Lonchura striata: one gene and its partner. The protein of the gene in region 2 purifies or fractionates together with the protein of the main gene of each other region. This does not show direct contact. Links are inferred from orthologs where the notes say so. Each region holds a gene or a part of one and is shown on either strand. Other genes may lie near its edges.

Evidence for each region. Proteins that work in one complex are often made in the same cells at the same time.
Region 1: the proteins of PHLPP2 (region 2) and USP1 purify together in Homo sapiens (affinity purification with mass spectrometry; 3 studies listed by BioGRID and IntAct, with this or other methods). This does not show direct contact. The link is inferred for Lonchura striata from reciprocal best matches to the Homo sapiens genes PHLPP2 and USP1.

The regions. Positions count from the first base shown.
Region 1 is NC_134611.1:6,444,123-6,447,866, reverse strand, and holds the start of USP1 (ubiquitin carboxyl-terminal hydrolase 1), read left to right. Parts: upstream 1-1,074; 5' UTR 1,075-1,172; intron 1,173-1,330; 5' UTR 1,331-1,363; coding exon 1,364-1,524; intron 1,525-2,617; coding exon 2,618-2,741; intron 2,742-3,064; coding exon 3,065-3,172; intron 3,173-3,670; coding exon 3,671-3,744. UniProt on the Homo sapiens protein: Negative regulator of DNA damage repair which specifically deubiquitinates monoubiquitinated FANCD2. Also involved in PCNA-mediated translesion synthesis (TLS) by deubiquitinating monoubiquitinated PCNA.
Region 2 is NC_134615.1:23,822,114-23,825,857, forward strand, and holds the start of PHLPP2 (PH domain leucine-rich repeat-containing protein phosphatase 2), read left to right. Parts: upstream 1-1,432; 5' UTR 1,433-1,449; coding exon 1,450-1,581; intron 1,582-1,793; coding exon 1,794-2,038; intron 2,039-3,744. UniProt on the Homo sapiens protein: Protein phosphatase involved in regulation of Akt and PKC signaling.

The sequences.
Region 1 (3,744 bases), on a different chromosome or scaffold from region 2:
CCACAATTCATACGAGTATTTAGGGATAGTGACTTGCTGTAATAATTAATTTAGGCAACAGCAAAAAAAAAAAAAAAAAAAAAATTCTGAAAATATTGCAGGACTGCAAAAAAGAGTGATTTTTGTGGAGGTCAGTTTGCGTTAGTGCTTAACAGGAGTGCCACGCTCAGGGCAGGCAGCAGCAGCTGGTCCTGTGGAACTTCAGCTTTTGAGTGCTGAAATTTGGGGTAATTCACCCCAAAACCCAGATCTGGGTGTTGCCCAAAGTGAGTTATGCAGCTAATCCTATAAAATATCTTATGTGAATGAACCTTTCTGTTGGAAAACCTGTATGAATAAGCAACGTGCATCCTTTATGTACAGACGGGAGGTGCTGGAGGGGCCAATGTAAAGAGCAGAACGCAGAAATCTACAGCATTTTCCCACATTCCGTCTCTTTTTAAGCGTGGCGACCCCTAGCCCGCCAGCTTTGCAGCCGTAACAGCCTCAGCGCTACGTGCCATTGGCTGCCCGGTGTACAGGTGCGCTGGCGGAGCCCTGGGGCCGGGATGCGCTGGGAATTCCGCTGGAATGTGCGGATTGTGAGGGGAAAGCGCGGGAAGCTCCGGGCCACTGCGGGCCCTCAGGGCGGGGAGGGCGGGAAACGGAGCCGCCGCCTCTGATTGGCCGAGCCGCGCAGAGGGCGTGGTCACAGCGGGGCCAATCCACCTCCCGCCGGCGGTGGGGGGGCTTAGAGGGCTCTCCCCACGCTAGTGGTACAGCCCAAACCCGAGCCCTTTGGCCGGGCCGTTACCAGCGCCCGCGCGCGCTCAGGCAGGACCCACAGCGGGCTGCCCGCCGCGCTGCCTGATGCAGCGTCGCCCTTGCGCGGCCGCTGGCGGCATCACGGCGGCTACCGGGACGCGGCGGACATACCGACGGCGAGGCGGCGCCGCGTTCCGCATGGCCTCCGACCTCCGGCGCGCTTCGGCGGCGCGCTCGGTTTACCGGCGTTCTCACCGGGCGGCCGCCAGCGGGTAGTGGGTGGGGGGGGTTGCGGCGCGAGGCGGGGCGGGTGGGAGGGGGGGGGGGGGGTCCTCGTCGGCGCGCGGAAAAAAACGCGCCAAGTTGTCCGGCGGTGTCCGCGCGGTCTCCATGGCAACGGCGCGCGGGAGCGGGGCCGGCATGTAGCGGTGAGTGAGGGGAGCCGCGGGCCCGCCGGCCGCGGGGAACATGCGGGGGGCGCGGGGGGGCGGCCCCAGCCCGGGGCGGGGGGCGGCGGGTCCGCGCTCGGCCCCCTCGGGGAGTAAATGGCGCCTGGTGTGCGCGTGTGTGTGTGTGTGCGCGCCAGGTGTGAGCGCCCCGGCCGCGCCCCGCAGGAACCATGCCCGGCGTCCTGCCCGGCGACAGCGCCAGGGCCAGCCCCTCCAAGAAGAACCGGCTGTCGCTGAAGCTGTTTCAGAAGAAGGAGGCGAAGCGGGTGCTGGATTTCGTGGAGGCGCAGGAAAATGAGGCGAAGGGAGCGGAGTTGCGAGGCGCCGAGATGTGAGTGCCGCGCGGGACAAGTTGGGGTGCCGGGGCCGCGCCGCCATCCCCGCGCCTTTCGCTTTCGGCTCCGCGCTGCGCCTCAGCCCCGTTAACGTGCGCGCTAAACCCAATTAACCTGCTGCTTCCGTTAAATTAACGAGCGCTTACGGTAATGCAACCGGCGCCGCGGCTTCGCCAAACCGAACCACCTAAGTGCCGCAACCAATTCCCGTCTCAAAAAAGCGGCGCACCGGGGATGTCTAGTTGGCACAAACTTTGGGATCGCTTGCTGAAGTTAGTTTTTAAAACCAACTTCTAGGAACTCTTTTTTTAAAAAATAACTTTTATTCTGCTGCGATTTGCTCTTTTGGTATTTTGGATTGGGATCAGTCGAAGAACTTGCTTTGCTTCGAGTTAATATAAGTAGTTATTGTGTCACTGAGCTATTTATATTAAAATTTAATTCCTGCAAAGCGAGCTTTAATGAAAATATGAAGGATCTTTAATTGGGGGTTGGCTGTCATTCATTAGGGTTTTTCAGGCCCTAAGCAAAACTATTTCATTGCTACTGGGGGGATTTAAGTTGGAAAAAGAAAATTATGGTCAGTTAGAAATAGTTGGAGACTTTAAAATTGGGTTGCGTTGTGTCATTGCAATGTATAATTCACTTTTAGCAGTGATTAATAATAATGATAATCTATGCACTAGTGTATAGTGTGTCAGGTTTATTGGATTCTTTTTCTAGGTTTTTTTTTCTGGTTTTATGCTTTGGCTTTGCACCCAGAAATGAAATGATGTGACTGGAGCAGGGTGCAGTGTAAAAATACATTCTAGGCACATTTTTTCTGCCATATCAATGAAGAAAGAACATACAAAATTATTTAAATATGGAATTTTTGATCTATTAAATCAGTCTCCTGCTATGTTGGAACTTGGAGCACGTGTTCCTCCTGTGTGGTTTTGGGGGGTTGCTGAGAAGTCAGTGTGAATTCAGACACACTTTGGCAGGGTTTAGACCTGCATGTCTCAGTGCTGAATTCTCTGAGGTGGGGAGAGATGAAGGAGGGATTTTTTTCCAGAGTGTCTCTTACCCCATTTCTCTGTTTCCCAGTGACCAGGTGGTTCCTGCAGCACAGCCCCCCTCCCTTGTCAGCTGTGAGAAAAAAGACAACATGTTGCCTTTTGTGGGCTTGAACAACCTGGGCAACACTTGCTACCTGAACAGCGTCCTGCAGGTGAGGCCGTGTCCAGGGGGGCTCCAGAAGGGAGGTTTTGGACAAGCACAAATGGGTGAAATCAATTTATTCTGGGTGCAGTGTAAAGGGCATCTCATTACAGCAGGGGAAACAAAGATGCTGCTGCAGGAAATGTGTGCCCTGTGGTCGTCCTGATTGGGAAATTCTTCAGTTTCCATACTCGGGGCTCCTCCCTGCTGTGAAAAATCCTGGATCTTTGTGTGCCTGGGGAGGTGCAGAGCTGTGTGGATGATAAATGTGCATTTATGTTTGGAATAACTTCTTACTCCAGTTATTCTTGTGTTTTCAACTGTTGCTTTCAGGTATTATATTTTTGTCCTGGTTTTAAAACTGGAGTAAAACATTTATATAACATTATTTCAAAGAAGAGAGAATCTTCAAAGGATGAAGGAGAGCAAAAGGCAGAAAAGGTAACAAATCCCCACGTGTTCTTTATATTTGTAACCTCACAGGCAAGGCTGTCCTGAATGTAGGGAAAATTTAACTGATTTCTGTTCTTAAGAAGCTTTTCAGCATAGTTTTCTACACTGTTACTTAATCTGAAGATGTATTTTAGTGGTTTTGAACTTTAGCAGAATTTTTAAAGTCTAACACAAGAAATTTGAGGAAGATACCTGACCATGCTTCTGGCACAAAGATAATTATGATACAGTGCCTGGAGCTGATGGAAATGGTAGTTTGGACAAGAATGGTTTGGGATTTTAAACTAATGGCTAATTGGGCTTTTATGTTTGTCTCCTACTTGGAAAAAAACCAAAATATTGTCTGAAACCCACCTGCCTCCCATAGCAGACAAAAAATTCAGCCAGATATAGAAAACCAAGGGGGAGGGGAGGAGAGAAAAATGTTAATTTGTGACCAATGTAACTGTGGCAAGTGTTCTTATTCCTTTTACATTGTTATTGCAGGGAAGCTGTAAAGAAGATCCCGTGGCAAGTTACGAGCTCATCTGCAGTTTGCACTCCTTGATCCTTTCAGTTGA
Region 2 (3,744 bases):
GTGCCTTGGCTAAGGCTGGTACTAGCTATGGGCCGCGGCAGCAGTGACACTGGTGCACTTTTGTGTGTTCCTTTTCTACTTGGAGGCTGTGAGGGAAGGAGCTGCTGGACTTCTTCCCTTTTAACTTTCACTCTACTCCTGTATATTCCTTTTTATTTTGTGATGTTGTAATTTAAATTTTACACAGAGCCCCATCCTGCCTCTTTGACAGTATAGAGAAAAAAAGGCAAACAAAATTACTAAAATACAAACCCCCAACAAAGCCACCAAATTTAAAGTGAAAAACATGCCATTTGAGGCAGGGCATCTGTTGGCACTCAAAATTCTGGAGACCTATTTTTGAGATGTGAAAAATTTAATTAAATGCTGAGTCACAGGTGAGTGAGGAGCTTAACAAATGTAAACATTTACATGGGATGCATTAGACTTCTGCTGTGTGTATTGTCTTTTGGTTGAAACAAATTATGAAGTGACTAATAAAATGAGACGATATTCAATGATTTAAAATCGCCTTGTTGCTTTCTGCCAATACAGTGGGATAAAATGTTTTGATTCTTAATGTTTGGCCATGGCAATGTGAGATGATGCAAAATAACATGGCCATGTTTTGAAAAAACTTTACAGGAAATTTTGGAGACTAAGATGAGTGGACAGTTGCAAAACACTTGAGTAGTTCCTGTGGAATACCATCCTGAGAGAGAGCATGTTAGTTACAAGCAGCAATGTTTGTCCAGGTGCTAGAAAGGCATGGTGGGATCTGAACACAAGTAATGTGTTTGGAGCCTGCTCTAGGAGCTTGTTAAAAGACCCCTTTCATACTCCATGTGACTCTTGGACAAGGATTGTCACCATATCTCTCTCACCACATGTGTCTGCTTTGTGTTTTAGTCACAGTCACATTTCACTAGATGACCTTTCACGTCTTTTCAAACGTGTAATTTCACTGCGGGGAAGGTGGGAGGCTTTTTTTAATGTTCTTGATCCTTGAGGGAGAAGCAGTGGCTGCCCTAAAACATGCTCAAATTCTTGCAAACTGTCATGATGATGTCATTGGTAGATGATGACGTCACTAGTAGTTAATGACATTATTAGTAGCAGACACTAGTTAAGACTGGCAGAGCTTAGGAGATGGACCTGCAGGGCAGCAGGAGCACGGTGCTGTTCGGCTGCTGAGCAGCGTACCTCAGCTGCGGGGTGCCGATGGTGACACACGCTGGAGCTGTGCGGAGGGCGAGCGGCGACAGGTGCGTTTGCAGCGTTCGCGTGAGCTTTGCCTTCTCCTCGCCCGGCTGGCGAGCGGCTCACACTCGTACCGCCCGCTGGTGCAAGACGCGGACACGGGCCCGGTGCTCGCTGCCCCGCCGGTGCCGCCGGGGCGGGGCCTGCGCCGGACGGGCCGCGCGCTTCCGGGGCGGGCCGCGGAGGCCCGGGGTGCCGGCCTGGCCGGTGATGGGGGAGGCCGGGCCGGGTGCCGGGCTGGGGCCCAGGGCTGCGCAGGAGCCCGAGGAGGACGAGGCGGCCGCGCCGGGCGCCACACGAGGGTGCCGGGCCGGATCCCGCGGCGGCATCCGGGTGCTGAAGGTGAGGAGGAGACCGAGGCCTCCCCCGCTCCGGGCGGCTCGGTGGGGGGAGTGGGAGTCGGCTGCGGCACGTCGGGCACACTTGCCCGCTGCGACCGTGGTCTTTCCCATGCCAGTGGCTGCCGCTTGTGCGGAGTTGCGGAGCGGGCCGGTGCGGGCCGGGTCGGAGCGGCCGCAGGCGCTGCTGACGCTCAGGTCTGGGCTGCCTTGCAGAGGAACGCCAAGCGCACCGGGAGCAGGAGCTGCCAGAGCAGCAGTCGGGTTGGTTCCCGTGAGAGGACCTGGCTGAAAGGGGATGTTCGACGAGGCTGCGTGTATGTTTATGGGAGAGACTCAGCAGCTGCGGCTCCTTCGGACTTGCACCTGGTCCTCTGCACAGTGGACACCCAAGCCGCGGAGATCTGTGACAGAGAAGGGAGGAAAAACCTCTTTTTGCAGCTTCATGGAGACCTGGTCAGGTGAGGGCTGAGAAAGGATAAACCTGACTACAAAATGTTTTGTATAGTTTTGCGAGCCTCTGTTCACCATGTCCCTATGCCTGTTGTGAGGGTGGGTAGGGAGCAGGTAGAGGTAGTAGCTGGCAGTCAGGTACAGCCTTAAGTCATGCACTTCATAAAAATTAGGTAGTGGTGAAATAGAAGTTACACACCTCGTAGTTATGTGTTTTAACAGGGAGAGTTTGGCTATTGCTCCAACCAGAAATATGTCCTCATTTTCTGAGTAGAGGCACCTGTTCATATATTTCTTTAGTATGTTCTGTGTTATGGGGATTTTAGCATCTGGACAACCTCATCTATTTAAGAGGCTGTAAACAGTTACTTTGAGTCAGCAAAAGCAGTAAGGTGCTTTCGCAATTATGTCATTTCATATTTACATGTGAGTAATTTTTTTTTTGCTGAGAAGAGTTGTCAGCTAAGTAATTAAAGGCAGATAGAAATTGTAGCAAGGGTTATATAAAGAAGGTTTAAGCATCAGATGCTACGTTTTATGCCGGAAGTCAATTTAGGCTGAAAATAGATGGCTCAGGGTTGTATGTGTGCGAACTTTGTGCTGTGACTGTGTTATGGACTCATCTTGGTTTAGAAGCTCCCATTCAGTTTGTTAGGATTTAAACTTTGCACTGATTCTTCCAGACTTAAGATGCAGTTATAAAATTGCCACTCCTGTTCTCAGAGGCAAATGATTGCTGCAGTCTCCTTACTTAAAGGTTGGACAGAGGTAGTAGCTGGATTTTGGATAGTGAAATGAAGGTTACAGGTCTCATGTGTCCAAATCTTAAAACTGTGATGTATGTTTGCTCTGCAGTGGGGTGGTAATGCTAGTGGTGGGAGATGCAGAGAGAACAGGACGTGTTCAAAACTGACTCTTAGAAAAGATTATTTACAACCATTTGCTTTACCCTGGTCAGGGTTACAGGAATTAGGGATGGATTAGTTAGAAACACTGTATGAGAACAGATGGACACTTGAACACTGCCACTGAGGCAGCTGAAAACCTCTGTTGCTTGAAAAATTTGTAAGGGAGTTGGCATATTTTGGACCCTAATAGCGAGCAGATTTTCCAGCAATTTTTAAGGAAGAGCAGAGCCATTTGTGCAGATCATGAAAAAATTAGGTAAAGCTTGTAGATGTTTTCAGAGAGATACATTTTGACTTTATTTAGCTTTTGAAGTGGCTTTTGCATTTGAATTCTTTTCAACCTCTCTTTTCTTATGCTAGCTAGCTGTGCCTGTCTTTGATTTGTGGTAGATTTTGCACTAGATTAGCAAATTGGATCTTCTGTTAGCCTTTTGGAAGCAAGTACTGAGCTGTAAATTATTACTTCCCACTCCTTTTGCCTCTTGGTATGTTTAGGACTTGGCCAATATTTTTCATAAGTTTTGTGAAGAGTTCTTGGTTATGATGTGTCTGTTCCTGGTAATTTTCAGAGTGTGTTTGTCACAGAAGAGATCCTTGAAATACTTCCCACTGGAGTTTTTCTTGGTAGAGAAGTGGGAGTTACCAGTATTGCTTCAGTAACACCTGTGTTAGTAGCAGGAAGCAGGCCAGAGTGGTATCTACTTGTATGTCCATGGGAAGATGATAGAGTGCTCAAGATTATCCTCATGCCCTATTGAGATAATTCCTTCCTCAAACAAACTTTACCAATTACTTTAATAATATGC